2 linked regions of the Arabidopsis thaliana genome follow. Changing the gene in region 1 together with any one later gene gives a genetic interaction. Each region holds a gene or a part of one and is shown on either strand. Other genes may lie near its edges.

Region 1 (5,717 bases):
GTGTAGGATGGAGTCAGCGTACAGGACATGGCTCAATGGGAAACGAGACTCTTCAAAAGTATGGGACTCTGAGCAGCTTCATAGAGATCTTCACGCAGCTCTTGGAACCACCAAATGGCAGGTTTCTTTCTTTCCTCAGAACTCAGATTCTTAATCTGTAATGTTGATTTATGAAACCTGTAATATTTTTGGTGTAGTTAGATGAATTCCAAAAAGCTGTCAAATCTAGCTATGACAATCGTTTGAGTGATGAAACTAGAGATAGGCATCGTGAGTTTACTTTCGTAATGGAAGCTCAAGTGTCGAAAATCGAGAAATCTCTCAAGGAAGCTGCGCAATCCGATGGGAAAGGAACACCGAGATGGGTTCGTTTGGATGAAGATGATCGTAATGAGCTTGCTCTCTTCTTGACTGGTCCATCTGAATCTGCTAAAGCAAATCCTAATGGACATAGAAGGACTGCAAGTGCTGCTGAATTCAGTGCTTGGAACATTGCGGTTTCTGATGATGGTTTAGTGAAGAAATCTTGTGATGAGCCAGTGGTTCGACCTCCGAGGAAAGTACCTAGCTTCTCTGGATTCTTGAATTATATGGATCCTGTGTCCAAGCATTGCAATAGAAAGTGGAAGGGTTTAGATCGTCAAGGAGACTCTGATGCTGCTTTATTACCTATCCAAGCTAACCAAGTAAGTTTGATCGATCGATCTCCAACCGCAAGATTTTTGCCTCCTGCTTTGAAAATCTTTGCTAAGAAATGCTTTTTATTTTTTTGTTTCTCAGCAAGATATGAATGGATGTTCAGAGAGGGGCAAGAGTTGTATGGAGTGTGAGGAGGACTGTTATGAAAAGCAGCTTCATGGTTGGTATGGAGCTCTACAGAGGCAACTCCAACGGTCTCAGTATCGAATGCGATATAGTAAATCGGTTCACGCTGCAATTTGGATTATTCTTTTAGTTTTTCTTATTGGTAAGATTTACTGAACTCTGAATCATTTATGTTTAGAACGCAAAGCTTACTGCATCACTTTTGAGTTTTGAGATAAATTGTTTTTTTTTCTGATTGCAGTGGTAGTTGCAGTGCATTCAATGTAGAAGAGAGGTTTGGAATAGCAAGGTTCGAGTTCATTCATCTTCTGTGTAACAGCGAAAGAGACGAATTTGGCAATCCACATTTTTACTGTACAGTAAATTCCAACTGTTTTTGGTTGTTTGTAATATAGAAATGCATTTTTTTGGTTCGATTATTTGAAACGGGTTTCATTGAGCAATCATTGTTTTCTTAGGCACCAATCCTATTAACCATTGTAGAATTATTTGGGACTAAACCCAAGATTGAAGTGGAACCTTCTAAAAATGACAATTCAGAATACAGAAATGCATTTCGTATTGGATTATTTGAAGTAACCGTTTCATTGAGAAATAAGAAAAGGTGTCAGAATTCTTTTACAATCAATCCGAGCAGAGTATTGAAGCACACGACTGCTTAAGTGGAGTTTTTGGACATGTTAGCCACCACCTCCTCCCGTTTATCGGCAGTCTCTAACTCGATGCCTTGAAATGTAAGTCTAGATGAACGATAGTGACTCCCAAACGCAGTCCCGAAACCCCACCCGAGGCCCAAACCCACCCCGCAACCGCCACCTTTGTCAAATACCAGACGCATAAGTTACGTAATTAGAATTTAGGAAAAACCTGCTCGGTGTGTATCTATGCGAGTGTGGGATATTTGAAGTAGAAGTTTGAAATGCTTACCAGCACCAACACCTAAGATGTTCATAGGCATTCCTGCATGAAAGCAACGGAAATCTCCAATTCAGTAGGTTTGCAAAATAGTATGAATCCATCAAAATGTAAGCGCAACTGATACTAGCTATGCGTTTAAGCAACCATTAGCTAGGAAAGAAGAAGCATTTGAGTAAAGATGATATGTAGGAGTTGATAATCTCTATAAGAGACATTAAGCAATATGATCACAAAACTAAACAAGCACAGCAGAGTGCATTGCACATCCCATAGCAACTAGCAAGAGAATTGTTCCAATAGAATTATCTTGTAATTCAGTCCAGATTTTGTTCAAGTAAAAGCAGAAAAAGAGAGAAGTTGAGAACGAACCTCCAAAACCCCATCCAACGCCAAATCCACAACCAACACCGAACCCTATGAATTCCAATAACTAAATTACGATTCCAATCAAAATTAAAAGGAGAAAACAATTGCGAATGGGGGCATTACCAAATCCAACACCGACTCCAGTGAAGTCAGAGAGCACCATAGTGATCTTCACAAGAAAAAAAAAGAAACCAATTTAGGAATCTATAAATTCAAATGAGCAGAAATTGCGAATCTGAATTACCCGATGATACCTTGTTTGTTGTTGGTAATCGGTGAATCTGGTAGATTGCTCTCTCTACCTCCCCCACTTAAAATCGCAAGCCCTGAAAGCAAGAGAAGAAAGGTGAAGACGATTTGTTTTAGAGACGTACCAAATTAATCGAACCGGTTTAACTAATGAACCGGGATTATTTTCAAAATGATTTTATGTAAAAGAATTTGGTCAACAGTGAACCGGCCTAATTCTTTTTCTCAAGGTCAACAACAGTCAACAGTAAAATAAAACGATCTAGTGAGCAAATGGATCAATCCATATGCAAAAATGCTCATGTCCCATTGAAATCCAACTCACAAATAGGATTTGGATGGTTGAGACAGACAAACAGATAAGTACTTATGGCCATTTTTTGGAGTAAACTAATGAGCAACGGTTTGAAATAGACAGTAGGAGGAGAAATAACATTTACTAGTTTGTGCTACAAAAGAAACTACACTCACACTATGAATTTATTGATATACAATACAAGGAAGATCGTATTCATCAGTTCCAATTGGTATGGATGACCAAGTAATATTTCTTTATACTATATGCTATTAGGTGAAATAGATGGGAGCTTCTATCATAGTATATGAAACAATATTATAAACTAAAAATTGGACTGACCTTACTAAGACTACACATTCCTAACATTATGCGGCAAAAAGAACGAACTTCTCCTGCTGTCTATTTACAACTTCAACGAAACTTCCTACAAGAATTTTAGCTTCGACAATAGCAAAAGTAAAATAACCGGTCTAGGGTTTGTTTTTGAATGAGTTATACACATTGATCTCCTGCTTCTTCACATCAACCATTTTTATGGCCGTGCAATGTCCTAATTTTGGGGCCTTGAGATAAGTCTTCAACGTGGGAATCAAATCTGAGTTCTGAAGGTGGAATGAAGCAATCTATAGACAAGCCAGGGACATTGAACGAGATTTCATCGATGACCCATGCTTCTTGCATTGTGGTCTTAGTGTTATGTCCTGATGACATATCTCCAAACCTTAAAAGCGTAGCCACGGATCTACCAGAGTGAGCTATCATGATACCTTCGACAGGTTTGTAGTCTTCTAGGTATGAGTTGATGGTCGTCTCCCAGTAAACCGCTTCGCCTCCATTGTTTTGGATTCGGGTTAGCTGGGAGTCTTCTAAGTGAACAAGCAGACCGGTTTTTTGGCTGAAGTAACCGAACAACGTATGTCTTATGGTCTCTGATGCCCCTTCGCTTCTAGCTTTGAGTGTTGCCGGGTCTGCACATAGCTTGAGAATGAAACAGTCTTCTCCATCGATCTTTTTTTCTCCTATGCACCTTGCATTTGCAAACATATACGCTGTGGTCCTCGGGTCAAGTCCCTGAAAGTTGACAACAGTAACAATTCAGTTATGCAAGCAAAGAAAAGTGTATGAGAAGGCTTCCTTGGGACAAGAGGCCTAACCTGCAGAGCACGTCGTAATGGTCTAACCGGTCCTTTTGCAGCATGAGGTCCAAGCCATGGTGTGTGTCTCCACACAAGCTTCCCGTCACAACCTGCAAGAACCTTGCTCCCACCAAGAACAAGCTCCATGTACCACATATCAGGATTCATATGCCACAACACAAATCCTCCAGACTCAACAGCTTTTGACGAATTATTCTTGCTCTTTGAACCTTTTGAGCCTGTCTCAAACTCTGAAGCCATCGTCCTGATTCTTCCCATAACATATCCATTTTGCACAGAACTATGAAGCTTTTGACCTCCTGATGCAGCCGTATACTGCTGAAGTATGTACTGAGCAGAGGAAGTCTCCTGAAAATTCAAGTATTAGTAAGAGTCATTAGACTTTACCCTCAACACATTAAAGCAGAGATAAAACTTGATAAATCTCAATTAATTGCGCAGTCTTTCTCCGTAATTAGTAGGCAACTAAAAGAAGATTCAGCTAAATTCAAGCTAGATTATGGCACAGAAGAGCTTAATTCAACATGATTAACTCCAAATCCCCAACACTGTCCTAATTTTGAGGAGACAACAGTGAATTAAGAGCTCACCATAGGTGTATTCTTGATACTGAGGTGTGGAAGGAGATCCAGAGCGCTAACGTGCACAGGACCTAAAGGTGCGCCAAGAACACCGAGGAGAAGCCTCAGATCCGTTCGTTTGAAATCCGAAGAGGACGATACTGACGGCGGAGCCACCGGAAGCTGACATTTCATCCAATTGTACCAACGTCTCTCGAACCTAGAGTAATCACCACTGCTTCCGGAGTCTTCAGCGTCTGGATCAGGACCTTCTATAACCGGAGCAAGCATCTCAGACATGTGCCGGTCCGGTTGTGTGACGTAACGGCCTTTCCGGCGACGGATGATGATCGGAGAGACGCTTCTGACTGGACTCTTGGATCGTGGTCGCCGGGAATTAGACTTGGAGAACAAGCCGTGCTTCTTATCCATAGTCGGAAGAAGAAGAAGGAAGTGTTGTTAGTAGTGTGAGAGAGAAGACGCAGGTTTGGTGATTAGAGAAAAAAGAGAGAAATGTTTGCGTCGAAGGGAAGGTTGCAAAATATAAATGTCGAATTTAATTCGTTAATTCGCTTTTTTAACCATTTCTTTTGGAATTTAATTATTCTTTTCTTATTTTGGCTATTATTTAGGGTTATACACATTTTTTTTCTCGACATCGTTGAAATTATGAATCACTGCTTCTCGAATAAAAACTTTTAAAAGTCTCATTATTACAGGCAAATGGGATTCGGGATAAGATTTAATTATGAAAATTGGTATAAGAATTTTTTTGTTATTTTTTTCTATTGAAATGGTTTTACATTCCATTTATAAGACATAAAACATTCATATTTGTCTTCTTTCTCTCAAGTCTTTTTTTTGGGCTAACTCGTTCCACATTGGATAAGAAGAAAACTTGTTACAGTTTGTGACCACAACAACGAGTTAAAAGGAGTTGCTTAATATGTTTTGATTTTTTCATAAAAGTTGATAATATGTTAATCATTATATATATATATATATATAATACTTTATTTCAAAAGCAGCATAAATTAGTGAGCAATTAGCCTTAAGGAACACGAAAGGCATGCTCTTAGAGATGGAAATTAATTAAAGTCAAAACAAAGCAATTGAGTGTTATATTACTATTTTAACAAAAAAAAAAAGGTGTTATATTACTAAAAGCAATATACAATATAGACGAGTAGGGTGTGCATGAGCATGAGCATAAGTCACAAAAGGTCAACATAACACAAAATTATTAAAAATAGTCTTCCTTTTCTGGAGTTTTCAATTTGATTCATGGGACCAAATTAGAATGGATATATATTTATATGGTTGCTTCTTACTCATTTTCATCTT
Region 2 (6,277 bases), 2.8 Mb from region 1:
TCCGAACTAAAAAAATATATATATAAAAAATTTTGAGAATGATTTCAGTTCCGGTGGAGCCATATTGGCTCCCGTATGATGTTAAACGACAATAATTGGATGTAGATTTGTTAAAATTAACATAAGATTGACGCTAAGGTTCCTCATTCCTAACCATCAGTTTGTTAGCTTAAAGAAAAGTGATAATTACGCTCTTTCCGCCTAGAATGGCTTTTTGTCTTGTTGAATATATAAAGGAATGAAGTGACTCAAAGCTTCGTGGTAAAGTTAAGATATAGAAACTTTATTCGTATACACTATGTAAATACACGCAATATCTCAACTACCCTTTAATAGTTGTGTTATCAAATAATAAAATATATAATATGAGAAAATATGTTAAACACCTTCCTTTTCGGTCTTAATTAATGATCAATTTTGTTAAAATCGTTACAAAAGGGATAAGAAACAATCACCAACAGAGACAAAAATAACATTACCAACACATATAATACAACTCTCATTAGTGAACACTCATGTAACCAAAACTGTTAACCATTAGCGTATGATTGAGAACGATCCTCCCTCATAAAATATGTGAAAGTTATCTAAGGGAATGTTAAGATATAGTTTTTGTTTTATTCAAACACCGTTAGTTAAACTTGAAAGCATGCATGCTAATGTTTGGGATTCGATCCTATGCGAGAGATCAATCTTAAGAGAGGTTAAACTTCACATTCAATAATGTACCGGGAATGGAGACTTCAAGAATCATCGGCTTGATAGACCACTAATAAAAAAATGACAAAAACTAGAACATCCAAATATATGTCGTTCGAAAATGTAATTCCGTAGCTAGCTTATACAATTCTATACACAGAAGATATTTCGAATATAGACACATATAAGATGTTGCGGTAATGCAATTTTAAGTGTAGTTGGACATGGATTGGTGAGAAAAGTAAAGTGAAAAAAAGAAATAATTAAGGAAGAGGGGGCTATAGCTCTGAAACCCTAGACGAAAGCAACACTGCATTGCCAATAGTAGAAACAGTGCGATCACGAGATTCAACTCATTCCTACTTTCTTACTTCTTAGTATCCACTCCACTTGTAGTACTAGCTAGCTCCCTGCCACGTGGTCCTCTCCTCTTCTTTTAGCTTTATGGGCCTTGTAAAGCCCGCGGGCCCCATCTGCCCATCCCATGCACATGCATCACATTATGCTTTCTCTCTATCTACGAAATTACGAATATAAGTATACGTATAGAACACTTTTTACAATAACCAAGGGTCAAAGTTTTCTCGAGTCGGAGGATATGAACTAAATAGTACATTGTCTACCAGCGAAGCTTGAACATGAGATCTTGAGACACATTTCCTTTGGAAGGTACTGAATTGAGTGTTCATAGCGGTTCAAGGAACTCGATTAATTTAAAATACCTGAATTACCATTTTTTTGGGGATTCGTTGTGCTTTTTTAATCAATCTACCGGAAATGAAGACAAGTTTTGCTAAAAACGTAACACTTGAATATTGTAAATTTGTAACATAAAACTCTAAAACCTTAACAAATTAATACCTCTAATTAAAATAGAATACTCATAAAAATATAAAATGTAAAAGATACAAATATTGAATATCTTCTAATATAATTCTAAGATGCGAAAGATATAGTAGTCGAATTAAAGCAACCAATTTCAGCGTTTCCTTAAACTTATATTTCCAAAATATCATCTAGGACAGTTTGTTTTTTTTAAGAATCGAGACCCTCTACTAAACTCTTGCATTCAATTTGGTAGAATCACGTTTTGTGTAGGAGAGAAGTAGTGCTTTTGGTTTGTAGTGTAGAGTAGGGTAAACGTGAGTATATAAAACGTAGAGAGGCATATATTATACAGAGAGTGTGCTTTTAAAGAACGGACCGGCTGAAGAAAAAGATAACGTTGTTGTCTCCGTAAAGGTTACCAAGTATCACTGTCACGTGACCACCACCATTCCTCTTTTCACATCTTTCTCCTTTCGATATTGGTTATATTATAGTTAAGTTAGCATTTAGTTAAATTTACTATATATTAGTAAGCAATGAAGGGGATATTAGTACAAATCTGGACATGAAATGTAGGCCTTTATTTGATTGATTGTCTTGGTATAAACATTTCATATAATAGCTTTGTAGATTTATACAACCAATTAAATAATTAACACTTTACATATACAGAATAACATAAAATGTTTAGATCATATATTTTGTCATTTTGGATCAATAGAGAAAAACACTCATTGTTATTTTCTTATTTATACTTTTCTGTATCAGTCTATGTGTAAAGTACAAGTGGACCTGCCGTGAATGGCATAGAGCCCACGCTTTACTTGTAAAAGTATATTGGGCTTTACGGCCCACGGACCAATTTATGTTTTGCCATTGGTTTTTTTTTTGTTTGTTTTGTTGGGAGTTAAACCCACACATCTTCTTCGCAACTGTTAGTTGTGTGTGTTGTTGTTGTTGGCACTGTGCCACTTTCTCTCTCGATGAACCCTCTCAAGCAAGCTTCTTCGATCTTCCGAGCTTAGTTTCGTTTCTAAATGTAAGTTTTCAAGTTTTTGTTTCAGTAAGAAGATTGATAGACCTAATTATTTGTTCCCCTTCTATATAGTAGAGATTTCACCTAGATTGGTCCGTACATATCTTATACTGGGATTCGAATTTGGCTGCCTCAGAGTCAGAGATTGATTAATTGATCAGGTCACCGGAAACTTTTTGTCTCGATTTGGATCTCTTATGCAAAATCTGTTGTGTCCTAATTCTATTTGATTGTAAATCAATTTGATTCTGGGTTTATTACAGATTCAGCTGTTGAAATCGTGCTTATTGCTACAAATTGAGAGGCACTAAATCAGTGAGGTCGTAAAGAAGAAGGCAACCACAATGATGCAGACTTGTTGTATCCATCAATCGTTTTGTTTCCCTCATAGGTATTTTGTGTTGCCATAAGTTTATAAGCTTTCTCATTTGCTTCATTGTCAGAATATGTTATTTTGGATTCTTGAATATTAATTTTGCAGAGTCTTTCCACGGTTTGATGCTTCGATTGGTATTAAGCCCCCAAAGCTTTGTCAAGTTGGTTTCATTGGAAAGACTCAATCTTATGGGATTTCAAGTCCGATACGGCAAAGAAGATTATATGTGAATTTGAATGCTAATGATGGTCACCCATCCATGTCTATGTTGGAAGAAGAAACCTCTACTGAAAACAACGCACCCAGTCAAGAAGCCGAGCTTCCGTTCAGCAAATGGTCACCTTCTAAGTACATATGGAGAGGTTTATCAGTTCCTATTATAGCAGGACAAGTCGTTCTCCGGATTTTAAAGGGTAAGATTCACTGGAGAAACACTCTTCAACAGCTGGAGAGAACCGGACCGAAATCTCTAGGAGTTTGTCTTCTGACTTCTACATTTGTTGGTATGGCTTTCACAATCCAGTTCGTTAGAGAATTCACTAGACTAGGTCTAAACAGATCCATTGGAGGTGTCTTGGCTTTAGCCTTCTCTAGAGAGCTAAGTCCAGTCATCACATCGATTGTTGTTGCTGGACGAATGGGAAGTGCATTTGCAGCTGAACTAGGGACAATGCAAGTCTCAGAGCAAACTGATACACTCCGTGTTTTAGGAGCTGACCCAATTGATTATCTAATCACTCCAAGAGTCATCGCCTCGTGTTTGGCTCTACCGTTTCTGACACTCATGTGTTTCACTGTTGGTATGGCTTCAAGCGCTCTGCTCTCTGATGCAGTTTACGGGATCAGCATTAACATAATCATGGACTCGGCTCACCGAGCACTTAGACCATGGGACATTGTGAGTGCCATGATTAAATCTCAAGTCTTTGGAGCTATAATATCGGTAATTAGTTGTTCTTGGGGAGTAACCACTACTGGAGGTGCTAAAGGTGTTGGAGAATCTACAACTTCTGCTGTCGTCATGTCTCTTGTCGGAATCTTCATCGCGGACTTTGTGCTTTCTTCCTTCTTCTTTCAAGGTGCTGGAGATTCTTTGAAGAACTGTGTTTGACATATTATTTTCTGTCTTCTTTTGTTGTGGTTTAGATGGGTTTATGTAAATCAGTTGTCTTAAATTGAGAAAGTAACATCATTTTAGAAAGAACAGAAAGATTGCTATATTTCTATTCCAATAATGATACACATTGAATAATCTTGAACTATATAGTTCATCGGAAAATTTGCAATCAGTATGGGCGGAGTTAAAATGTTATGCTATGAACTTATGACATAACATCTTATTTGACCAAGCAGATATAACATGGTAAAACCAAACTAGCTTACTTGACCAATAATCCAAAAAAAATAAGCATGAAGTTTTGAAAAAATGTTGAAAACTGGAAAAACTTGGCCAATCTCTTGACTTTTCTCTTCACCTGCCGCTTTGCATACGACTCGACGCTTCCTCAAAATGAACCATCTTTGTCCTACGAGGGTACGAGCCTGTCTCATCGTCTCGAGCCGCCAAACCAGCTTCTATAACCAAAGCTTCAAGATCAGCTCCACTAAAATTCTCACAACGCCTAGCTATAGCATCCAAATCAACACTTGTGTCTAAAGGAATCTTCCTCGCAAGAGATTTCAGAATCAAACCTCGTTGAACAGAGTTTGGAAGAGGTATATAGATATGTTTCCCAAACCTCCCTGGTCTTGTAATCGCAGGATCCATCATCTCCGGTCTATTCGTTGCACCAATCACAAACACTCCATCTCGTTCTTTTCCACCGCTCATTTCATTGAGCAACTGAGTCAATGGTCTTTCAACAACCCAAGCACCTTCTCCTGACCCACGTTTTGTTGTCAATGCATCAACCTCGTCGAAGAAGATTATGCACGGTGAACACATCCTTGCAAGGTTAAATAGCTCCCTAATCGCTTTCTCGCTATCTCCAACGTATTTGCTCAAAGCTCCGGTCCCTCGACACGGATAAAGTTGGTTTCTGCTTTGTTAGCCACGGCTTTGGCAACTAATGTTTTACCACAACCAGGTGGTCCATATAGCAAAAAATCCCTCCCTGAACAGAACTTGAATCCCTCGCACTCTTCTGGATATTTCAACGGTTTGATTATATCGCTATAAAACTCCTTTCTTATATGATCAAGACCGCCAATATCTTCCCATGTTACACTAGGAGTAGTAGAGAATCCTTCTCTTGTTAACGAAGGTTTAAACTTTTTCAATGCTTCCTCAAAATCCGAGATAGTGTAGAAAAGTTTCTCTATCACTTGTGGTGGAAATGGACATGGCTGCATACTCAACAAAGAATCAATATCAGTTCCAAGTTCTGATCCTCTTGATTTCACTAATCTCTCCATTGCCACATTTGCAGCTTCCTTAACCAAAAGTGCTAGATCCGCTCCAACAAATCCTGAAGTCTTACGAACAATCCTTGCAATATCAAAACTTGGGTCAAGAGGACGGTTCCGTAGTATCAAAGTAAGAATCTCTTCTCTTGCCTTCTCATCTGGCATTCCGAGACAAAAATCCTTGTCGAATCGTAGTGACCTTCACAAAGCTGGATCAAGAGCTTCAGGTCTATTGGTAGCTGAAATAACGATAACATGGCCGCTAGTTTCAGAACCAGACTCTCTCATCTTTTGAAGCATATACTCTTGGTCCATACAATTCATCAACTGTGTAACAATACGAGTCTCCATACCCTTTTGCTGATGATTATCCCTCTTTGACGCAATCGCCTCAATCTCATCGATAAAGATAATCGAAGGAGCAGTTCTATACGCTTTAGAGAAGAGTTTTCTTATATTCTCTTCAGATTCACCCGAAACACCAGAAACAACCTCAGAAGCAGAGATCATATGAAAAGGAACACCAGTTTCATTAGCAATGGCATGCACGAGCCAATGTAGACTTGCCACAACCAGGTGGACCATGAAGTAAAATCCCAGAAATTGGCTTCTCTTGAAGACGTTCATGCATTTCAGGAAAAAGCAGAGGATTCTTTACTCAATTCGTTAGGTCATGCAATATCTCCTTTAACCCACCAAGATCCTTAAATTTCTTACCTTTTTTATTCTTATTCCCTATCTCTAATTCCACATCTGAAACCCTAATATGTTTCCTTGTATCATACGAAGCCCTAAGGTTTTCATTTATCAAATCAAACTGTGGAGTTGACTTACCACTATCATCTAATACATTTCCGTCCCCACGGCATCAGACCACGACGATCCTGAAGGTGAAGCTGTGGCGGCTCTCTTCCGTGATTTTGATCTTGCAT

What was found. Genes that interact genetically often act in the same process or in processes that back each other up.
Region 2: changes in AT1G27695 (region 1) and ABCI14 are lethal when combined (synthetic lethality), as found in Arabidopsis thaliana (one study listed by BioGRID).

Annotation. Positions count from the first base shown.
Region 1 is NC_003070.9:9,635,769-9,641,485, reverse strand, and holds AT1G27695 (glycine-rich protein), read right to left. Parts: upstream 2,463-5,717; 5' UTR 2,364-2,462; intron 2,340-2,363; exon of another isoform or gene 2,279-2,339; 5' UTR 2,273-2,278; coding exon 2,233-2,272; intron 2,158-2,232; coding exon 2,113-2,157; intron 1,786-2,112; coding exon 1,753-1,785; intron 1,642-1,752; coding exon 1,484-1,641; 3' UTR 1,282-1,483; downstream 1-1,281. Other genes in the region: AT1G27700 (Syntaxin/t-SNARE family protein), read left to right, coding at 7-121, 198-686, 781-967, 1,067-1,092; AT1G27690 (lipase, putative (DUF620)), read right to left, coding at 3,179-3,727, 3,811-4,161, 4,404-4,805.
Region 2 is NC_003070.9:6,843,905-6,850,181, forward strand, and holds ABCI14 (trigalactosyldiacylglycerol 1), read left to right. Parts: upstream 1-2,433; 5' UTR 2,434-2,566; exon of another isoform or gene 2,567-2,638; 5' UTR 2,639-2,724; exon of another isoform or gene 2,725-2,826; 5' UTR 2,827-2,907; coding exon 2,908-2,954; intron 2,955-3,044; coding exon 3,045-4,050; 3' UTR 4,051-4,218; downstream 4,219-6,277. UniProt on the Arabidopsis thaliana protein: Required during embryogenesis. Permease involved in lipid transfer from the endoplasmic reticulum (ER) to plastids, and necessary for thylakoids formation.